2 linked regions of the Saccharomyces cerevisiae S288C genome follow. The protein of the gene in region 2 binds, or shares a complex with, the protein of the main gene of each other region. Each region holds a gene or a part of one and is shown on either strand. Other genes may lie near its edges. The genes, in order: YAP1801 and CHC1. A codon is read from its position in the direction of its gene.

Region 1 (10,247 bases), on a different chromosome or scaffold from region 2:
ACAGGTAATTTAAACCATTTACGCGATTTCAAGTTTAGGAAATACACGGAGTTCAAATAAGCATCATGCTCATCTTTCCCGCCTACAACACACATCAGATCGTTGTAGACTACAGTAGCATGTTCTTGAACTGGAGGAGGCTTTTCACCCGTGGTATCAATGATAAACCAATCATTTATTGCAGGGTCGTACATAAACACATCATTTACTAAACCTTGTAAGGTATCGCCACCAAATACCCATAGTTTAGAATCGTATGATATCATAGTAAAATTGGTAATAGGTGGTGGTGTAAAGGTCCTTGGTTTCAAAAATTCCCAATGAGAGTCCGGTCTTCTAAAAGAAGATAAGTCGTAAACAGCCAAGTCGTTGAAGTAGGTGTCATCAAATTGACCACCAAACACGTACAGTTTTGTTTTCATTTGAGTTGTGGCGATAATCGAAATTTTATGACCGTACCTTCCCAATGGACGTGGTCCCACGGGTGCCGGGACTGTCCATTTATAGGAATTAATATTCAAAAGGTATATGTCATCGTCCATCAAACCTTCCTTATTGACTTTGTGTGTGTCACCGCCAAATACAACAAAGGCATTCCCGCATAATACAGCAGCGTGGCCTACCCTTGGTGGTGGTGTAGCTTCACTTATGTCTATCGTTGTAGTGGAAAATCTGGTGGCATTATCGAAGGCCGTTAATATCCATGTATCGCCGTACACAGATTGGTCATGAAGTCCCCCAATAACATATATCTGGTTCTTGTCTGTAACATATGCTGAAGCAACATGTCTATAACGTGGAAAAGGAGAATTCTGTAACTTGATTCTATTCCATACGGTATATTCTCTCTGTTTTGAAAGCTGCTTATGGAGAGTAGTGGACGGTCCTGAGACATTTCGCTGTTGCGGTGGTACTGCGCTCGGTTGAATCCTTGATTCGGATACCTGTTTTCTGGCAAACATAGGTGGTGAACTAGTTTTATTAACATTAGAATGGTAACCTTGTGAAAATTGACGCCCTTTCTGAGGCGTTTCTTGTTTTGTGAAAAATTTTTCATTTGGAGGAGTTGACAGTGAAGCTTCTCTAGATTGGTCAGAGATAGAAGCATCAGAAGGCGTCTTTCCATGTTTCTTGTGAGTGAATTTCTTGGCGAAGCTGAATCCAGCCATGTTTGAGTTATTTTCTAGGTGCAAATTGAAGCAAACGGGCTCTAACTTTTCCTGAAAAATTACTGTGAATTTGTTAATAAGTGTAAGTATCACAAATCAAGCAAAACAATTACTTTATAGAACGAGCCCTGTTGCTTTTCTATATCTTATTGTTTCGTATTTTAAAGGAATGCTTGCTTGTAGTTTACTATCAACAACCGCGTCGCCAAGTCCCCAGAAGACGTGCCGCGTGATTCCAAAGGTGATGAAGGGTACAAGTTGTAAAGTTCAATATAATAGGTAAGGAAAAAGGCCAATACTAACTGTGCTTTTCTCAATTACCACTACATGGATCCGAGGATAATTAAATCTATCTCCTAGGGCACTGATATGAATAAATTTGACGAGTTTATAGAGTCTAATGAGAAGGATTTGGATGTGGACACCAGTACCCGAAATAGTATAATTTCGATGTCACCTGTGAGGAAAACTGGACGAAAGATTCGTTCTGCTAGTTCCAATGGATATAGGCTAGAACACCATCGTACGTCCAGTGCGGGAAGCATGCATTCGCAAAGACTAATGACGCCTACCAGATTAAATGACCAGGACCATCCCTTACAAGCCAAGCCAGATGCTAGGAGGGTGGTAACTCGTCATTCTTCTGTCTCAGTTCCAAATGCAATGAGCAAGAGAAGATCACTTATTCAACCCATGGTTGTTCCCACTACACCAGAATCTCAAAACAACTTACCTTCAGTAAGTCATTCTGAGGGATCCTATGGAATCCCATTAGAGTCAACCACTGTACTTTCTAGTGAGCAAGCGATGGCCAGCGGACTTCGACGGTCTAGAAATGGGAGTTCGCAGTCGGTTAATAGTATGATAGCGACCACCATACCAACAAATGGGGTCGATGTAAGTGCGCTTCTACAATCTCTCGCTACAAAAGAGTTAGAACTTCTGGAATGCAAACAAAAGATTGAAGATTTGAAAAAGCAAACCCAGCATGAAGAGCAAAACTATACTCGTCGGGCACGTGAACTGCATGAACTCAAGGAGCAAGTGAGTAAACATTTGGATCCCTCTCTAAATACACCTGTTAAAAACCGGGCTTTTTCACCGGTTTACCAGAATATACCTTTGGAATCACGAACTGAAAATGCTGGTAACAGCAGCCTTCCTAGTTCTGTCAGTAAACCAAAGAACATGGGTCATCAAAGTACTAATCAGTCAAGATCTGTGTCTCCGCAAGATATTCAAGAAAGGCGCCAAAGGGACGACTCGTCAGATTCATCCAAACAGTCACTTTGGAGCAAACCATTAGCTCTGTTTAATCAGTTTGATAAAATCATTCAGCATGAAATTGAAAGAACTCTGAATTGGGATGACTCTCTTTCAGGTACGCCTGAGGTACAGGAAGGGACACCGACTAGTAATAGCGAGTCGTCCGCGCAACAGTACGATAATGAAGCACCTGGAGCTCGCCAAAAATCTCCTTCGCAAGGATCAGTCTCCAGGTCGCTTTGGAGCTTTGTTAGCGATGTCAAGGCCGGATTACTCGGTATAGAAGAAGAAAACGATAATGATGTTATTACTGATAACAGATGTGATCCTGTATATAAAAGCGATAGACAGCATGAACAGAAAAAAAGTACACATAAAATTACGAACCGGGGGCAAGCAGAAGATAGTGGCGACGATTCTAGTTTAAACATGAGGAAATTTAAAACGACAACTAAGTTCCAGAAAGACAATGCTGGGAATAATAGTCTCACAGATGAAAGTGGACATCGAACACGAGAAAAAAAAAGTAAAAGAAGTAGTAACAAGCTAAGTTTTATTGGAGAACCCGATAATGATAATTCCTCCGTCAAAAACTCAGTTGAAATGACAGACTTCTAATTCCTTTTTCAAAATGACGTTTATTCTTCACTTGTCACTCTTTTTACGTATAGCTGTGAACGCAGTATGTAATTTAATACTGTTTTCTCTTGAAAGTGGTTAAAAAGTGTTATATATCTGAAATTCATGGTTTAAATTAAAGAAATTTCAAGGCCCGTTAAGCAATTCTGTCTTCAACATCATGGAACTCAAGACCAGCCCAGTTTCCTGAATTCTGAAAACAAAAACCTACGTGTTTTTGAAGGTTTCTTTCTGTACCGTTATCCTTCTTTAAAACTATAGAACCATCACTAATGCTGCCCATCAGCCCCATAAACTTTGAACTGTTTAGTCTTTCTTTTACATCTTTATTGGCACTATTATTATCGCAAAACTCAATTATATCGGAAGCCAAACCTTTCATGGCAGTTTCTTCATCTTCCAGACTCGTACCTGAATTTTCCTCTTCTGTATGGACATCTTCTTCCAAACTACTGGCTTCCAGTTCCGAAAATTCAGCATTAATTAAAGAATCAATGTGGCTGTTGATAGGATGTTCTAAACCTGTTGTCTTGAATATCTGATGGTCAACCACAGGGAAGGAAGCAATGTTAAAGTTTTTCTGTGAATAAAAGCCTAAGGGAAAATCTGTCTGAGATGTCCGTAGCCCGTTGTTTATATTAAGATTCGCGATTTGATTTTCGATGGGCGGTTCAACATTCTTAGGGAAGTTATATCTAAAATCCTTGGCCCAAGAAGTTTCATTGTCATTTAGATTTGGCGCTTCAAATTTGTAACTTTGATCCTCTAAGGTTCTAGGACGAATATTTACGTAGGACCGTGATTGATTCAAATCTTCTGAGTGTTGTAGAAATTTCAGCTCAATTTTATCCTTCAGAATCGGTGGTGAATTCAGTCTGCTCCCGATTTTGTTAAAAGAGAGCGTATTGTCCCTGCCCGTAAAAGGCCCCTTTTCTGTACTACTAATAAATTTATTCACCTCATTCGTTTGGCATCGGTTACTATTCATTGTTTGTATTTTATATCATTTGTCCATTGAAGTTTAGACAAGTATCAAATACCCAGTTTTCGTCTTTTCCCTTATATAGGTCGTCTCGGAAATAACAATATAAACTCCATGGTGCGGCGCTATCGAAATCTTTTGTTGGCGGGAGGAATTGAAGACAGTAAGATGTAAGTATTACATACTATAGGACAAATGCAAAATATGTACAAAATGGCAAAAATTACATAGCTCTTCCTTACAACTATATATAGCTATCCAAAGATGCACTTGAGTACTCCCTTACATACCTGATTATACTAGATATTACATATCAATTAAATTGAGGTTGTTAGCATATTGGTTTCCTAAAACTGGTTGCTGTGTTTGAGACTGTTCCGGTTGTGGTTGCTGTTGTGGATAGAAAGGGAAATTTTGAGGTTGAACTGTCCCAGTTATATTTGTAACAGGGTTGGCTCCTGCAGTTGCAGGCACATAATAACCCTGTTGTGGTTGCTGTTGTTGCTGTTGCTGTTGTTGCTGTTGCTGTTGTTGCTGTTGTTGGAGATGATTCTGAGTGTAGTGAGCCTGAAATTCCATTTTATCAAAACGCTGAGGAATATTCATCGATCCCTGCATGCTAGTAGGGGTTGTCATAACGCTATTGATCGAGCTCAAAGGCATTTTTTGTTGTTGAAATTGTTGTTGATTGTACGTTTGGTTTTGAAAAGGGTTACTTATTATCTGTTGTTGTAGCGGCATATTGGTATTTTGTTCATCAAAGTTTGGTCGTGAAAATGGGTTATTTAAGACATTTTCGTGTGCAGGATTCCCTGTTGCGATCGTCGCGGCGTTGTGCAATGCGAACGGGTTGTTAGAACCAGTTTGTGAATGAGAGACTTGTTGATTAGAAGCGGCAGTTGTATCCTGTGAAACGGAGTATCCTCCAAACCCTGCACCTGTAAATGTGGGTGTTAAATGGTTGTTAATCGAATAGTACCCCGTTTGTTGGGCACTTACGCCAGCATCTTGTACAGGGTTGAAGTTCACTGTGTGTTGGACCGCTGCATATTCAGGAACGTTTAAATTTGCGGGCTCTGTATGAGCGGTTGGTGTATTCATCACCTGTGGCTGAGTTTGAGATACAAATGGGTTATTTGCGATCTGTTGCGTTTGATTAGCCACAGCCATTGGAATGTTAGTATGCATAGAAGAGTCTGTTCCAAACGGGTTGTAAGATTGAGCCGCCGTGACAGTAGTTAGAGCAGGGGAAATCGCTACTTGTTCGTTTTTCAATTGTGCCTCTAGTATCCTTTTTTGTTCCCGGATTTGCTCCAACCTTTCCTGTGCAGTAGATTTGGCTACTACGGCCCCAGCACTTCCTTGAGAACTGTCAACGGGCACAAAAGTGTTGTGCGTCTTATCATCCTCTATCAGATGTTCTTCTAGCGATCTGACCAGTTTGGTAGTGATATGCTTGATGACGGGTATTTTCAAGCCCGCAGTCTTCCCGCTCTTCAAGTACCTGACAACGTGCTCGGTCAAATCAACAAACGTCTTGTACAGGTCTAGAGTTCTCTCTGCATTATGATGAGATAGTTCGAAAAAAGACTCCAGCAGAGTTATGATACCTTCGTTGAGAGCATTATATAGCGCTAGCAGGTCTTGAATAAGCAGCTTGAAACCAAATATGATCAATTCGTTACTCAAATCATATTGTGTATACTTGTTTTTAATCAGGGCTTGTATTTGTACCTCTAGGGACTCCACATGATCTAGTGCTATATTGATAGAGTGTTGCTTGTTTCTGGAGCTTCCGTAATTGCCACTGTTCAGCTTCAGTGTTCGATAGCCGTCTCTCACATAGTCCTTTTTGATTTTACCAAACTCCCTGCATCTCACCTTCAGATAATTATCGTATCTATCAAGTGCCCTCATGTCTCCAGACGCACTGCCATTGGAGCCACGTATGTTTTCAATGTCAAAAAACTCCAGGTTCCTAGAGTAGTACCGCAATGCAACATCTTTGGAACCCTCCCTTATCATCAAATGAACCACCAACAGCGATTTATACACAATAGTCCACGCCGTGTCATTAATTCGGGAATCCAAACCCTTCACGATCTCATAGAAATCCTCTTCATTGCTGGTCCCCAACAGTATCGGATCCAGATACTTCTGTTTGGGCGGGGCTGACTTGATCTTGGTAGCACCTTTTACCAACTTGAAATATGTTGTCATCTCGCCTCAATCGAAATTTATACTCTAGTATCTGCGATATCGAACAGTCCCTTTATATTTACGAGACAGGTTTTGTCCTTCCTCCCCCACCAAAAAGACGCTATAAAATACTAAATATATCTAATATCGCTACTGCTCAATTCACCTAACGAATGATTACCACCAAGCATCAACACCATGTGCATACCATACCGCTAACTAAACTCACCAACGCTGGAAGCCTGAATACCAAGTATCGAACTGAGGCCCCTGTGTTACCAATCCGTAAAAAGTGATGGAACCCGCCGCTCGCTTCCAAGAGTTATCATCATATTCTTCATCATATTCTTCCATACTTAAGGTGGGTAGCGAGGACCCCTCAATTCCCCCACCTCTCTGCCAGGGCGTCATCTTTTTCTACAAAAGCCAGGCTGAGTCACGTCAGTTGCTGACCCTGGGGGCTGCATTGTTTCCTACGAATTACTCATTTGTTTCGTGCGCTTTCCTATTGCGCGCATGACTAGGATGGAAAAAAAAAGAAGAAAAAGAAAAGCGTTGAGTATATAATAAGAAAGAAGAAAAAGTCCGAGAGAAAAGAAGCACAAAGGTTTTTCCTCGAGGAAAACAGTAAAGTTTGATACGCACATCGTTGACATCGCTGACTGCAATAGGAAACTGAAATAGACGGCAAACCATTAGTTCATTCGAAAGAACGTATTGTCGAGAATTATCACTCACTATATCAGAAAATTGACACACGAATTATATAAACGAAGTTATACAGAAAAAGATTAAAGAAAAGAAAAATGTCTACATCATCCGTACGTTTTGCATTTAGGCGGTTCTGGCAAAGTGAGACAGGCCCCAAGACGGTGCATTTCTGGGCTCCTACTTTGAAATGGGGTCTGGTTTTCGCTGGATTCAGCGATATGAAGAGACCGGTGGAAAAAATTTCTGGTGCTCAAAATTTGTCGCTGCTATCTACTGCGCTGATTTGGACTCGTTGGTCCTTTGTCATCAAGCCAAGAAACATCTTGTTGGCTTCTGTCAACTCGTTTCTTTGTCTGACCGCTGGCTATCAATTGGGTAGAATTGCCAACTACAGGATACGGAATGGCGACTCTATATCGCAATTGTGTAGCTATATTCTCAGCGGCGCCGACGAAAGCAAAAAGGAAATTACTACGGGCAGATAAACGCCGAATTTACAACTCGAAACTTTGCTTTGTCAAAGATATGTACGTAAGCATATATATCCGGATTGTATAATATTCATAAAATAGTAAAGTATATTTTCTTTGCGCGGTGTTATAATTTGCTCTTTTGCATTTTTCCGTTTTTTTCTTACCTTTTTATCCCCGACAATGGTAATAGTGGTATATTATATAAAGAGGAAAGGCCTCGAGGATAATAGAAGGCAATGCACCATCAATTGCTTTACCCCTGGTCCGCGACCAAATGGTGACAGTCGGTGTGTTTTCTGAGAGGGCTAGTTTGACCCATCAATTGGGGGAATTCATCGTCAAGAAACAAGATGAGGCGCTGCAAAAGAAGTCAGACTTTAAAGTTTCCGTTAGCGGTGGCTCTTTGATCGATGCTCTGTATGAAAGTTTAGTAGCGGACGAATCACTATCTTCTCGAGTGCAATGGTCTAAATGGCAAATCTACTTCTCTGATGAAAGAATTGTGCCACTGACGGACGCTGACAGCAATTATGGTGCCTTCAAGAGAGCTGTTCTAGATAAATTACCCTCGACTAGTCAGCCAAACGTTTATCCCATGGACGAGTCCTTGATTGGCAGCGATGCTGAATCTAACAACAAAATTGCTGCAGAGTACGAGCGTATCGTACCTCAAGTGCTTGATTTGGTACTGTTGGGCTGTGGTCCTGATGGACACACTTGTTCCTTATTCCCTGGAGAAACACATAGGTACTTGCTGAACGAAACAACCAAAAGAGTTGCTTGGTGCCACGATTCTCCCAAGCCTCCAAGTGACAGAATCACCTTCACTCTGCCTGTGTTGAAAGACGCCAAAGCCCTGTGTTTTGTGGCTGAGGGCAGTTCCAAACAAAATATAATGCATGAGATCTTTGACTTGAAAAACGATCAATTGCCAACCGCATTGGTTAACAAATTATTTGGTGAAAAAACATCCTGGTTCGTTAATGAGGAAGCTTTTGGAAAAGTTCAAACGAAAACTTTTTAGAAAAGACACACATGCGAGCTTTCGAACCTCAGATGCTAATATTACGTGTTATATATACCAAACTTTATAAAATGACATAGATATTTTATGCTGTGATAGCTTTCCTGTTATGGAGAAGCTCTTCTTATTCCCCCTGTCAACTTTCATACTCTTGTAGAATTTCCTTTATGATAGGTTTATCGCTTACGAATTTAGACTTTGATGTGATGGGTTTGGCACCTGTTCTTTTTCCACAACCTTTGCGTGCCTCATCAATAGCGTTTGATCTGTCGGGAAATTTGTATTTGTAGAGTGCATCCTTGCACATTGTATAGACCCAATTACGCTCTTCTAACAGGTTCACGAACGATTTTATTTCAGGAACAGAGCCGATTGTACTTTTTGAACCTATAATGATCAGCTTGGATTTGGCCCTTGTCATGGCAACATTGACTCTTCTTAGCTCTTTCAGCAGCGCTCCTCCATTTAATTGAGAATTTCTTCTAACCATGGAAATAATAATGCACTTTTTGTCACGACCTTGAAACTGATCAGCAGTCAAGATCTCTAGCCCGTCATACACATTTTTGTTGAATATCTTCTTCAGTAATCTTAACTGTGCTCTGTATAACGTCATTACACCAATATCTTCGCATGGTACGCCGCTCAATAACATTCCTTCCACACATTGTAGAGTCAATTCTGCCTCCCCGTGATTCGTAATGTTATCCTTTTCGCTTTGTTCGATAATATCCGGGCAGTTATCGTAATTTAAAAATACCACTTTTCTTGTAGGCTCTAGTATATCCTCAAGCCACTGCTTAGAGTTAGCCGATTCATTCCTATAGCGCGACAAGGCCTCAGGCATTGGTAACTCTAAAGATTGAGCAAAAACTTCGTTATTCCCGCATTTTAATTTATTATCATAAATTAGGAAATTAGACAAAGTTACAATATCGCCGCACATACGGTACTGTAAAGTCAGTTCTGCAACGCTTTCCGGATGCTTTTCACAGAAAGTCTTGAACAGTGACTCTTCTAACCCACCTAATCGAGCTGCGTCATTTTTAACTAATGGCGGTAGCTGGTAATGATCTCCTACCATAATAAACCTATTTCCATACCGCAGAGGTCCCAAAGCGACAGGCATTGAAATTTGACTTGCCTCGTCCAAAATCACATAATCAAAATCCTTTTCATTTAGTGTAAATAGTATATCGTTAATTCCTAAGCAGGTGGTAGCAACAACAGAGGTGCTGTTAATTTTGGACAAATAATCGTTATAACTTTTCACTGACGCGTAATTCGGGACATATTTTTGCGTGTCAGGATGGACCTTATGTTTCATTCCCAATCTCATTATGCTAATGTTGGTGTTCCTCAATTTTATTAAAATATTATCCACTGCTGAATGTGTGTATGATGTCAAAAGCACGCGTTTCCCCTCGGAAACGAGAATTTTAATAATTTCTGCGATAACAGTAGTCTTACCAGTCCCTGGCATTCCCAATATCAATGCATAATCTTCGGCCCTCATTACTTTGTCTATTGCTTCTTTTTGATTCAAGTTCAATGTTGTATCCTTTGAAAGCTTATACGGAATGACGGGATCATCATTTGCATCTCTAAACTTAGGTGCTCTATTATCAACTAAAAGTGATCGCAGTATTTCATTACCTCCATCAGATCTCTTTGTCTTCCGACATAATTTACTCCTTTCGTCAACAATATCCACGCCAGGTGAAACAGCTGGTAAAAACAAGCTTAAAAGATTAAATCGCGCTAAAGACAAACTCTGTTGGATA
Region 2 (13,533 bases):
ATTTGATGACGTTATTGCCTTAATCAATAGCGCTGGTAAAACAGTGGGTATCCCTGAAAAGGACTCTTACCAAGGTAAATTTATGACTGAGTGGAACCCAGTATGGGAAGCGGCTGTGAAGGAGAACGAATTCAATGTCATTGATATTTCGCTGGGTCTTTCTAAAGTTTGGGAAGTGAAGGATGTTAACGAACAAGCCTTCCTGTCCGTTTCAAGTAAGGGGTCGGACAAATTTATGGACCTTTTATCCAATGAAATGGTTCGGGCAGTTGACGAGGAGTTGAAAATCACCAATGCCAAGTTATCAGACAAAATTGAAAATAAAATTGATGATGTGAAATTTTTGAAGCAATTGAGTCCCGATTTAAGCGCATTATGCCCACCAAACTACAAATTCAACTTTGATTTATTGGATTGGACCTATTCTCCAATCATTCAGTCCGGGAAAAAGTTTGATCTTAGGGTTTCTGCCCGTTCTACCAATGATCAGTTGTACGGCAACGGTTGTATTTTAGCTTCATGTGGTATTCGTTACAATAATTATTGTTCTAATATTACTAGGACCTTTTTGATCGATCCATCTGAAGAAATGGCCAACAACTACGATTTTCTATTAACTTTGCAAAAAGAAATTGTAACTAACATTCTGAAGCCCGGCCGTACACCAAAAGAAGTTTATGAATCAGTAATAGAATACATCGAAAAAACCAAACCTGAACTAGTGCCCAATTTCACCAAAAACATTGGTTCATTGATTGGTCTCGAATTTAGAGATTCTAACTTTATATTAAATGTTAAGAATGATTACCGTAAAATCCAACGCGGTGACTGCTTTAATATTTCGTTTGGTTTCAATAATCTGAAAGATTCTCAAAGTGCTAACAACTACGCTTTACAATTAGCTGATACGGTTCAAATTCCTCTCGATGAAACAGAGCCTCCACGCTTCTTAACAAATTACACCAAAGCCAAATCCCAGATATCATTTTATTTCAATAATGAAGAAGAAGACAATAATAAAAAGAAATCTTCACCTGCCACCAAAGTCCCTAGTAAACCAGACAGAAATTCCAAAATTTTAAGAACAAAGTTACGTGGCGAAGCCCGTGGTGGTGCCGAAGACGCTCAAAAGGAGCAAATTCGTAAAGAAAACCAAAAGAAGCTACACGAAAAATTGGAAAAGAATGGATTACTCAGATTTAGTGCTGCTGATGCCAATGGCCCAGATAGTGAACCTCGTCAATACTTCAAAAAATATGAATCTTATGTTCGGGATTCACAACTACCAACCAATATTCGTGATCTAAGAATTCATGTCGACTGGAAAAGCCAAACAATTATTCTACCCATTTACGGTAGGCCAGTCCCATTTCATATAAATTCATATAAGAATGGTTCTAAAAACGAAGAAGGCGAATATACGTATTTACGTTTGAACTTTAATTCACCGGGATCTTCTGGTGGTATTTCTAAAAAAGTGGAGGAATTGCCGTATGAGGAATCAGCAGACAATCAATTTGTACGTTCGATTACACTAAGATCCAAAGATGGTGACCGCATGAGTGAAACCTTTAAACAAATTGCAGATTTGAAAAAAGAAGCCACAAAGAGAGAGCAAGAACGTAAGGCGCTTGCTGATGTTGTTCAACAGGACAAATTGATTGAAAATAAAACTGGAAGAACGAAAAGACTGGATCAAATTTTTGTGAGGCCAAATCCAGATACAAAACGTGTACCTAGTACTGTCTTTATCCATGAAAATGGTATCAGATTTCAATCCCCACTAAGGACTGATAGCAGAATAGACATATTATTCTCAAACATTAAGAATCTAATTTTTCAATCTTGTAAAGGTGAATTAATTGTCGTCATTCATATTCATTTGAAGAATCCAATTTTAATGGGTAAAAAGAAAATACAAGACGTCCAATTCTATCGTGAAGCTTCTGATATGTCCGTCGATGAAACTGGAGGTGGAAGACGAGGTCAATCCAGATTCAGAAGATATGGTGATGAGGATGAGCTGGAACAAGAACAAGAAGAAAGAAGAAAACGAGCTGCGCTTGATAAAGAATTTAAGTATTTTGCAGACGCAATCGCAGAAGCATCAAACGGTTTATTGACGGTGGAGAATACATTTAGAGATTTGGGCTTCCAAGGTGTCCCAAATAGATCGGCAGTTTTCTGTATGCCAACTACAGATTGTTTAGTTCAATTGATTGAACCACCATTTTTGGTGATTAACCTAGAGGAAGTCGAAATCTGTATTTTAGAAAGAGTTCAATTTGGTTTGAAAAACTTCGACATGGTTTTTGTTTATAAAGATTTCAATAAACCCGTCACTCATATCAATACAGTTCCGATCGAATCTTTAGATTTCTTGAAGCAGTGGTTAACAGATATGGATATTCCTTACACTGTCTCAACAATCAATTTGAATTGGGCAACTATTATGAAGTCATTACAAGATGATCCATATCAGTTTTTCTTAGATGGTGGTTGGAATTTTCTGGCTACTGGTTCAGATGATGAAGCATCTGATGAAAGTGAAGAAGAAGTTAGTGAATATGAGGCTTCAGAAGACGACGTAAGTGATGAAAGCGCATTTTCTGAAGATGAAGAAGGATCAGAGGTGGATGACGATATTAGTGGTGATGAAAGTGAGGACTATACTGGCGACGAGAGTGAGGAAGGTGAAGACTGGGATGAATTAGAGAAAAAGGCTGCTAGGGCTGATAGGGGTGCAAACTTTAGAGATTAGACTTTATAACACTTACTGGGTTTCACCAGCAAGACCTTGATCTGACAGAAAATTACTCTTATGTATCTGAAAAATAATGATGGTATTTAGGCATAGTATTTATCAATGCTAAGAAATGTAAATGGACTGAATGTACACTCAATGCTAACGGTCAAGGTCATAGGACGTTTGCGTAATAAAAGAAACTCTACTAGAGTTGAACATAATTTGATATAAAAGTATATAAATTGAAAAGGCAGTTTCAATCATTTTAGTTTCTGCAATTTATTTATTCCTGTAATCTACAATTTTATAGTTGGGAAATTCTCTCGAAAATATTAAGAAAAATACAGAACTCATAAGGTCTTTTTTATTGGCATTTTGAAATCCCCTCAGATAATCAAAGATGCTAACAAACAAAATAATAACGGTAAAAAAAAAAAAAATACACGATGGGGTACAGCAAACGAATTATTTTATCCACGTCTTAAAATCCTGTGGGTTGAACGTTCATCGCGCTGTTCATCAGCATCAAAGGTTGGCCATCTTTGTGCTCTTCATTAGATCCGGACTTTTTAGCGAGTTCTTCGGTGATTTTCTTAATGGAATCATTCTGCTCTTTTTTTATGGAGATTTCAAATGGCTTAATGTAGTCCTCCAAAGAATTCATCCATGATATTTCTAAAACAAATTCAATTCTCACTAAGTTGTAAGCAGCATATAGCAAAGCAACAAAGCCTTCTCTGTTACCGGTTTCAACGAAATATGTGAGTAGAGCCTCCACTACCTTTGGATCCTGAGAGATTGCTGCCGTCTCAATAGCGTCCTTCCATAGCTTTTCTTCCTTCAAGATTGAAAGACTCTTTGCCCACTTCTTATTTCTACGGTATAACAGGGCTCCTATTTTCTTGAAAAAAATTAGCTTATGAGATTCCAAACGAGATGCCAATCCCAATTGGTCAAATTTGTCATAAGAATCAACAGCGTCTTGCAAAGCTTTATAATCTTCTTCTTCAATCATCAGATCGTGGTAGGCTTGGTTGACAACTGAGTTATTTTTTGGTAAGACATTGATCAAGAAAGGCTTGATTAAAGGCAAGTTGTCGGATTTCGAGAAAATTTTGACAGTTCTTGGAATATCTAATCTTGGTGTCAATGAGGTCAAAAGATCAACTAGTAATGATGGGTGAAATTTGACGTAGAAATTAATGGCCTTGTAATAGATTTCTAAGTTAGAAACTTTGACAACAACTTCTTTGAAATAGGCGTGATCCAAGTCTTTGGTTGATTTTTCGATTAGTGTTAAAGCAGCATTATCCCATTCATCATAGTGAGCATATAAAAAGACCAATTCCGACCAGAGGTGAGCTTGTTCGACAGCTCTAATAACCTTTGGAATATTTATTCTGGACCAGAATAGCTTCAAGTGTTCGAAGGTCTTGTCTGGTTCATATTTGGAATACAAAATGGCCAATTCAGTGAACATGCCCATATGAGCTCTTTCAAGTCCCAAACCAGCTTCAAACAATGAAATCAGTTCTTCGAAATAGCCGTTTGATTCATACCTTTCCACCAGTTCATCTAATTCTTCAGCGTGAACGATCAAGTTCAACCCACAAATTTGAGCCAGCTTGAATTCTTTCTTTTCAATACAAGCGTCGTTAACCAGTTTCCAAACTTTAATGTTTGAAGCCTTTCTAGCAGTGTCAACAGCAGCCTGATAATCTCCCAGGTAAACCAAGGTAGAAGCAAGCTTGGAGTAATTAGAAACAGCAGAATAACATAGCCTGGCCGCTTTATACTCTTTATTCTCGAATAATTTATCACCAACATGATCTAAGTTTGCAACATTGGAACCTGCCAACAAGTTCTCAATTTCATGAATCTTGTTTAGTTCAGCATAGGCCAAGATTAAAGCACCGTCGATCTTTGGTTCTTTCAAAGTCTTTCTAGCCATTAGTAAAAATGGAATTAATTCTTCGTATTTACCGGCTTGTTCGGCTATATCAATTACATTTTCGTAATTTGATGGGTCTTCTGCTTTAATATAAGACTCAATAGCATCTGGGATTCTTAATCCATCTAACTGAGCCGTACCAATTTGAGACCACAATTCGGGAGTATTGATTTTATCAGCATAAGAAGCAGCTCTATCTAAAGACATGATGTCTTCGATTAAAACCTTTAAAGCTTTACCGTACATTTCATGTTTGTCATAGATTTCAAAAGCTTCCTCCTTCAAATCATGTTCAATACATAATGGAGCAATTTCATCGGCGTCGTAGTTATCTAATTTTTCGATATAGCTTGAAACCTTAGTTGGTTCATACTTAATAGCAGACAATAATAGCAACCCTTGTAAAGCCACATTTTCGTTGAAAGGAGAAGGTTCCAATATGATTTTTTCTAGCAACTCAATTAGTTCCAGTTTTAATCCATTGGTCATGAATGCTTGAACAGTTAAGGAAACAGGTTCAGGATCAGTTAATTCAGGGATACCAACGGAGATGACCGAATCAATTAATTGTCTTCTGTGAATATTTTCTTGATTCAAAACTTTGTTCCATAAATCGAGATCAGAACGTTCCAACAAATATCTTGCCTGGTACTTGTACATGCTATTTTCATTAGTGATTCTAATCAAGTCATCATCATTTTGACCTTTTTCATACGCAATATATGCAAGGTAGGGATCTCTTTTTTCGCAGTAATGACCAACGTCTAAGGTGTCATATTGGTCGTTTTCCTTCAAAAACTTTTCAGGAGAATTATTGGAATCAATATAAATTTTTGCTAAGGCATTGTAAACAGCTTGATCCTGGATACCTTGACTTAAGCTTTGTTCTAGGAAAGGTAGCAATATTTTTAGTCTATTTCTCTTTTCAACCTCAGTAGTTAATTCATTAATAGGGACTTGACCTAAGACTGATTGTAGCAGACTTTGAATAAATGCCTCATCACAGTCCATATCAAGTAATGCGCCAACAACTTGGGCAGTCTTTGAAGGGTTAACCTGCTGCACGTAAGTTTCAATAAATTTTAAGTTCTGTGATTTGTACAAATATAAAATCATTTCATGAACAAAGTCGAAACGGTCACAAACTATGACTAGAGGCAACTGGTCTTCTAGATTGGCATCCTTCAAGAAATTCTTGACTCTTTCTGGATCATAGACATTGTTATCCTTCACAATTCTTTCAATTTCTCTGTATTGTTTCATTTTAGCAGCAGCTTCAATGTATTTGTAAACCACATCTTTATCTTCGGTTAGGTTGACTAAAGAGGCTAAGTAATAGTATAAACCTTCCGTAGCATTATAATCTTCGAATAATTTAATCAAAGTAGATGGACCGATCAAATCAGAGAATTTAGTTGCCACCTGTACTACGGTCTGGATGTTAGCCTGAATATTGTTATCCATTAAAGCTTTTAAGCACGCCAAAGATTGTTCAACGTTCAACTTACCAAAGTATCCGACTAACCAATCGATAGGTAATGCATTGGTGTGGACAACGCATCTCTTGATATCTTTGATGTCTGTGTAATTTTCTAAAGCTCTCTGGTATAGTCCCGCCTTTTCGGATAAGGAAGCAATAGTTGGTTTGTCATAATGAGAAAAGATGTTGTTTCCCAATATGGCGTCAGCAACTTGTGGTGCGTGTAGTAGATTGACTTCAAGAACACGAGTTTGCAAGTGACCTTGGTCTGGGGTATCTCCTTTTAACGCGTCTAGAAGTAGAGAGGTTCCTTGTTGGATATGGTTTTGGGAAAAGAATAGATCTGCGATTTTTTCTATGTCGATCTGAGAAGCAGTTTCCGGATTTTGTAATAGAGATACGGCAAATTCAGAAGCTCTGTCTGGTGATGATCTAATCAAAGAAGAAATCAGCACTAAAAAGTTAGGTTGATATCCAACCTTTTGGCAGTAAGGAATAATTTTTTCAAACTGTTGTAATTCGGCAAGACAAGATATAACTTTTGCATGGGCACCTGCTCTTAAGTAGCAAGCTAGCGCTAAAGTAGTATCGAAAGGCTTAACGATGTCACCTAGTTCTTCTGAACATTCTAGTTTATCTTCCTTTAACCATTTTTCGAACAATTGTTTTCTGTCTTGTTGTAGAACTGGTCTAGCCAATTCAATTGTTTCCTCTTTATTCAATTTCCCTTTATCCAATAGTGTTGAAAAGTAAAGTAGGATAGGAGAAATGGCGCCTGGTGGTGCTTGAATGTTTTTCAACCTGTTGATGGTGTTTTGGTTCCTTAAAGAAGTGGAAGAGGCTGCAACTTTAGCTGCATTTTGATAATCGTTTTGTAACAATAAAGATTCAAACTGTTTTTGAAATAAATCATCTGCACCTGGTAAGCCACCTCTTGTAGCAACGATTAAGGCCAGTGCCACATTAGATAATTTATTCAAGATATATGGAACGATTTGAGAAGTAGAAATCTCTACTGCTAAAACTTGACCTTTTTTATTGATGCATGCAATACCGTTCTCGTGATTGTACGGAGCTGCAGTAAAAACAGATTCTGCTGTAATTCTATTAACGAATAAATTGGTACCGGTTTCCAATTCGTACAAATGGATGAAGCCATACTTGGTTAATAGGTAAATTATGCCGTATTTCTCAGACACCTGAACAGCGATTGGGAAATCATTCGTTGCATCTGGTGGAAAGAAAATATCGGTAGTTTCCTTTTGATATTGAGAAGGCAATGAAGCATCGTGATCAATCTCGATAATTCTTAATTCTCCAGCACCGGTGGTGGCATTTCTGTTACCAGTAACGAAAACTTGTACCGGGGTCGAGCCATTACCCTCTAGTAATATATTCGTAAAGATAGCAACATGACCGTCGATAGCTTGGGAGATGTTACGTTGTTTTGAGAATAATTGAATTCTACCGGCAATACGGCCATTTTCTTGTAAGATACCAACAACTGCGAACCAGTCAAGGTTTTTGTTAGCCACAAAATTGATAATTTGGGTATTGTTCAAGTTAGCGTGTCTCAAGGTAAGCAATTGAGGCTTAGCATTTACGTTACCATCAAAGACGTTCGAGGTCAGTATGGATCTTGCGGTAACAAAACCCAAAGTGGTTTCACTCAACCACCTCCAAAAAATAACAGGTTCATCTAAAGTAAAAGACTTTAACTTGCTCTTAGTTTCCAAATTAAATATCTGCACGATAGTACCATTTGCTCTAACGGAAATAACCATCTGAGATGGATGCATGATAGCAGAATCACCGCCCATATTCTTCCTTGTCACTTCATTGCCTTTGGCCAAATCCACGATTGCAACAGAGTTTGTACCGTCCTTTGTTTCTCTAACAGTGACGAAGTGGTCACTCTCGAAAGTAGTTGATCTGAAGTCAAGGAATTGAGGGGAAATTCCTAAGGACATCAGATCGACCAATTCGGTAAATTCAATGGGTAGGTCACTCATTGGTTAGAACTTTCGTGATAATTTATTTTTATAGTTGAATATCTTCTTTCTCTCTCAACTCTGATCCGGATTGTCGAGGTTTCAATAAGTTACTCTGAACAACTAATCAAAATATCTCCTTATTTCTGTAGATTCCTTCAGTTCCACTTTTTACTTTTCTTAATTCTCTTTGTATTTATTCCTAGCGACGAAAAATGCGAGATCTCGACCAAAAAAAGGGGGTAGGGTAATAAAATTAACCCTATTATTTTTTAACTTTAAAACCTATAATGTGCTAATATTTTATTATAAACCTCCTTTTTTTGCGTTCAAACCCTGACACATTTTAAGCCCTATATTTACGGTATTAGTTGATTAAACTCCGAAGCGAAAGGAATTCGGTCATTAGCGGCTAATAGCCGTTGGGGTAAATCACCTACAAGCAAGTACACAAGAGAACGTTGGCGTTGTTAAGTCAAAGCACTAATACATTGGGGCTTTAAGAGTGTTTATAAAGGTCTAACCTGTAAAAATTATTTAAACAACTTGAACAGGCCTTAAAGTTTTCCTCATTCCGCTCATCATCACTAATATTGCTCTCCGTTTTTGAATACACACTTGACACTAATAAGTATCACAGAAAAAAAGAAAATATAATAAATTAGTATTGCGATATGACGAGACGTACTACTATTAATCCCGATTCGGTGGTTCTGAATCCTCAAAAATTTATCCAGAAAGAAAGGGCGGATTCGAAAATCAAAGTTGACCAAGTTAACACATTTTTAGAGTCATCCCCGGAGAGGAGAACTCTGACGCACGCCTTAATAGACCAAATAGTGAATGATCCTATATTGAAAACTGATACGGACTATTACGATGCTAAAAAAATGCAAGAGAGAGAAATTACTGCCAAAAAAATAGCTAGGCTTGCTAGTTATATGGAGCACGATATCAAAACAGTGCGCAAACACTTTCGCGACACTGACCTGATGAAAGAGTTGCAAGCAAATGATCCAGACAAAGCTTCGCCTTTAACAAACAAAGACCTTTTTATATTCGATAAGAGATTGTCACTTGTAGCAAATATTGATCCTCAATTGGGTACGCGCGTGGGTGTACACTTGGGGCTATTTGGTAATTGTATCAAGGGCAATGGTACTGATGAGCAAATCCGGTATTGGTTGCAGGAGAGAGGTGCCACTTTGATGAAAGGTATATATGGCTGTTTTGCAATGACTGAGTTAGGACATGGTTCCAATGTTGCCCAGCTGCAGACTAGGGCTGTGTACGATAAGCAAAATGATACTTTTGTAATTGATACACCTGATCTAACTGCCACCAAATGGTGGATTGGTGGGGCTGCCCATTCTGCCACGCACGCTGCCGTGTACGCCAGATTGATCGTTGAAGGTAAAGACTACGGTGTAAAAACATTCGTTGTTCCTCTGAGAGACCCTTCGACTTTCCAACTGTTAGCTGGTGTTTCCATAGGGGATATTGGAGCGAAGATGGGTCGTGACGGTATTGATAATGGCTGGATCCAGTTCAGAAACGTAGTTATCCCTAGAGAATTTATGCTAAGTAGATTTACCAAAGTTGTCCGTTCTCCAGATGGTTCAGTCACCGTCAAAACTGAGCCACAATTGGATCAAATTTCTGGTTATAGTGCATTGTTAAGTGGTAGAGTTAACATGGTCATGGATTCATTTAGGTTTGGCTCCAAATTTGCTACTATTGCTGTACGTTACGCGGTTGGTCGTCAGCAATTCGCACCTAGAAAGGGATTGTCTGAAACACAATTAATCGACTATCCCCTTCACCAATATCGTGTTTTACCACAATTGTGTGTTCCATATTTGGTGTCACCTGTAGCTTTTAAGTTAATGGACAACTATTATTCCACTTTGGACGAGTTATACAACGCTTCCTCATCTGCATACAAAGCTGCTCTGGTTACCGTGAGTAAAAAGTTGAAGAATTTATTTATTGATAGCGCCAGCTTGAAAGCCACCAATACTTGGTTAATTGCTACACTGATTGATGAGTTGAGACAGACTTGCGGAGGACATGGGTATTCACAGTATAACGGATTTGGTAAAGGCTATGACGACTGGGTGGTTCAGTGCACATGGGAGGGTGATAATAATGTTTTATCTTTAACTTCAGCAAAATCAATATTGAAAAAATTTATCGATTCAGCCACAAAGGGTAGATTTGACAACACACTGGATGTGGACTCATTCTCTTACTTAAAACCTCAGTACATAGGATCTGTGGTTTCTGGAGAAATAAAGAGTGGTTTAAAGGAGTTGGGTGATTATACTGAAATTTGGTCTATCACCTTAATCAAATTACTGGCACATATTGGTACTTTAGTTGAAAAATCAAGAAGTATTGATAGCGTTTCTAAGCTTTTAGTCTTAGTATCCAAATTTCATGCCTTGCGCTGCATGTTGAAAACCTATTACGACAAGTTAAACTCTCGTGATTCACATATTTCCGATGAAATTACAAAGGAATCTATGTGGAATGTTTATAAGTTATTTTCCTTGTATTTTATTGACAAGCATTCCGGAGAATTCCAACAATTCAAGATCTTCACTCCTGATCAGATCTCTAAAGTTGTGCAGCCACAACTATTGGCTCTTTTGCCAATTGTGAGGAAAGACTGTATAGGTCTGACAGACTCCTTTGAATTACCTGACGCGATGTTAAATTCTCCTATAGGTTACTTTGATGGCGATATCTATCACAATTACTTCAATGAAGTTTGCCGCAATAATCCAGTGGAGGCAGATGGGGCAGGGAAGCCTTCTTATCATGCGCTGTTGAGCAGCATGCTCGGTAGAGGTTTCGAATTTGACCAAAAGTTAGGTGGTGCAGCTAATGCGGAAATTTTATCGAAAATAAACAAGTGAGTAGAGGTTTCCTGTTTTCCTTCGAACCCTCTGTTTTGCGACTTTTGTTTCAATTCAACTAGTGTCGCCAAGTTTTAACAAAAAGTTACAAAATCCTAGTGAGAGGCCATCTTATGTGCATAACGGTACTCTCTATCTATTTACATATCTAATACTATTCACATAACTATGACGAATCAATGACATGACTACATTTACCAATGTATAGTAGTAAAAAAATTGCCATCTCCTAGAATCGAACCAGGGTTTCATCGGCCACAACGATGTGTACTAACCACTATACTAAGATGGCAGGTAATTATTGAGTGTTTACTCAATATCTCAGAATTATATACATAACAAATAATAAATGTGCTGTGTTGGCACTTGTTGGAATGAAGCTCTAAAACATCATGATGATTGTGTGGATTCTGATGTAATTGTTGGGATTCCATTTTTAATAAGGCAATATGTTGGAACGAGAGTAATTAATAGTGACATGAGTTGCTATGGTAACAATCTAATGCTTACATCGTATATTAATGTACACATCGTATACGTTTAAGTGTGATTGCGCCTATTGCAGAAGGAATGTTAAACGAGAAGCTCAGACAATACTGAAGCTGTGTTAAAGACCTATTAGCTGAACATGATATGGTAGGTACATATATGAGGAATATGAGTCGTCACATCAATGTATAGTAACTACCGGAATCACTATTATATTGGTCATGATTAATATGACCAATCGGCGTGTGTTTTATATACCTCTCTTATTTAGTATAAGAAGATCAGTACTCACTTCTTCATTAATACTAATTTTTAACCTCTAATTATCAACACAATAATATTAGGTATGTAGATATACTAGAAGTTCTCCTCCAGGATTTAGGAATCCATAAAAGGGAGTCTGCAATTCTACACAATTCTATAAATATTATCATCATCGTTTTATATGTTAATATTCATTGATCCTATTACATTATCAATCCTTGCGTTTCAGCTTCCACTAATTTAGATGACTATTTCTCATCATTTGCGTCATCTTCTAACACCGAATATCATAATATACTAGTAACGTAAATACTAGTTAGTAGATGATAGTTGATTTTTATTCCAACAGTTTATCAACTAGTAGTCACACTACCAATATATTATCATATACGGTGTTAGAAGATGACATAAGGTATGAGAAGCTTTCATCGAAGGTAGAGGAAGCAGAAATACAAGGATTTATAATGTAATAGGGTAATGGAACATATAAGGGAGGAGAAATGATGGTGATATTAATATGCAGAAATATCGATTCCATTTTTTCAAAAAAATAGTGCCAAACTATTAAGAAGTAGCGAAACAGCAAAGGCATATTTCCACATTTCGCTTTTAGCAATATACATAACTATGGTGGCAAGATACCATGCAACTAATAACTTTGCCGCAATGACACCTCTATTTCTACTTGTTGTCGTTTTACCTCTTACTTGTTTGAACATTGCTGTTCTAAGACCTAACAATAATAGTCCTAATACAAACAGAGGGCATGCTGTTATAAGTATAAAATGTTTGCTGTAACTAATGGTGGGGGAAGATTGCAAAAAACGAAGGATATCAGTTCCATTCATTTCCAGGGATTTGTGTTGATATGTGGGGCTATGAATGCGTTGAAGTTTTCAACTTCTGTGAAGGAGTTAAAACAACCACTAAACAATCTCGTTCAAAAGCTCTAATTACTTGTATATTATTTTATACGTTTATGTCTATTTCAATGCAATTACGTGAAAAATAAAAGAACGCTACCATAAAAATGTTAAAAACTGGTTAAAAATGTCAAAAAATGGTCCGAAAACTGAAAAAATATTCGTGATACAGTTTGCATAAAAAAAAACTATTGTGCGCGATTAATATAACCTACTAGACTTAAATGACGACACTTTAATATGAAGTTCAGTAGTGTGAATTAAATAAAACAGTCAGTTCTTGATGGATTGTACCCTTTAAAGAATTTATCTTTATGTCGCTGTTACTACGAAAAGCGTGTGCGAGGTATTATAACTATTTTTCTGTATTTTTTATATATTTTTATTTGCCAAGTTAAAAATCAGTCATCTCAAAAGATTCATCGATTTCAGTGTTCGGAAGGCTAGTATACTTCTTCTTTTTCTTAGTTTTCAATTTAGATCCTGCTTTGTTAGAAGTGCTACTTATGGGTGCTCCGCCTTCTAACTGCTCATCTTGTTCTAAATCATCTTCTGCCCCGAGTCCGCTTTCCAGATCATCTGCCCATGAAACTGTCTTATTGGGACTGTCATGTTGTCTATTATTTGGATCAACTAAAATTGTGTGACGCGCTTTTCTCCTCACTCTTCTATCATACGCATAAACTCCTAAAACCACTATCAAAAATGTAACGATGGTAACTACTACCGCTTTGTGTTTATACATTGAAATCTCTTCTGCAAATTCTT

What was found.
Region 1: the proteins of CHC1 (region 2) and YAP1801 are in contact, whole or in part, in a crystal structure (PDB 9EXF), measured with the Saccharomyces cerevisiae proteins. Residues at the interface, in NP_011309.1 of Saccharomyces cerevisiae: Val49 (codon at 8,045), Lys63 (codon at 8,003), Asn64 (codon at 8,000), Met65 (codon at 7,997), Gly66 (codon at 7,994), Gly67 (codon at 7,991), Ile79 (codon at 7,955), Val81 (codon at 7,949), Arg82 (codon at 7,946), Ala83 (codon at 7,943), Ile87 (codon at 7,931), Gln89 (codon at 7,925), Phe91 (codon at 7,919), Asn92 (codon at 7,916), Leu93 (codon at 7,913), Lys96 (codon at 7,904), Lys98 (codon at 7,898); in NP_012031.1 of Saccharomyces cerevisiae: Asn631 (codon at 4,386), Leu632 (codon at 4,383), Asn633 (codon at 4,380), Leu634 (codon at 4,377), Ile635 (codon at 4,374), Asp636 (codon at 4,371), Met637 (codon at 4,368).

Annotation. Positions count from the first base shown.
Region 1 is NC_001140.6:416,011-426,257, forward strand, and holds YAP1801 (Yap1801p), read right to left. Parts: upstream 6,277-10,247; coding exon 4,363-6,276; downstream 1-4,362. Other genes in the region: KEL1 (Kel1p), read right to left, coding at 1-1,169; TDA11 (Tda11p), read left to right, coding at 1,539-3,053; PEX18 (Pex18p), read right to left, coding at 3,211-4,062; MPC2 (mitochondrial pyruvate carrier), read left to right, coding at 7,062-7,451; 6-phosphogluconolactonase SOL3, read left to right, coding at 7,714-8,463; bifunctional ATP-dependent DNA helicase/ssDNA endodeoxyribonuclease DNA2, read right to left, coding at 8,600-10,247. UniProt on the Saccharomyces cerevisiae protein: Involved in endocytosis and clathrin cage assembly.
Region 2 is NC_001139.9:99,316-112,848, forward strand, and holds CHC1 (clathrin heavy chain), read right to left. Parts: upstream 8,190-13,533; coding exon 3,228-8,189; downstream 1-3,227. Other genes in the region: chromatin-remodeling protein SPT16, read left to right, coding at 1-2,761; POX1 (acyl-CoA oxidase), read left to right, coding at 8,843-11,089; YGL204C (uncharacterized protein), read right to left, coding at 12,385-12,690; KEX1 (serine-type carboxypeptidase), read right to left, coding at 13,160-13,533. UniProt on the Saccharomyces cerevisiae protein: Clathrin is the major protein of the polyhedral coat of coated pits and vesicles. In yeast, it is involved in the retention of proteins in an intracellular membrane compartment, presumably the trans-Golgi.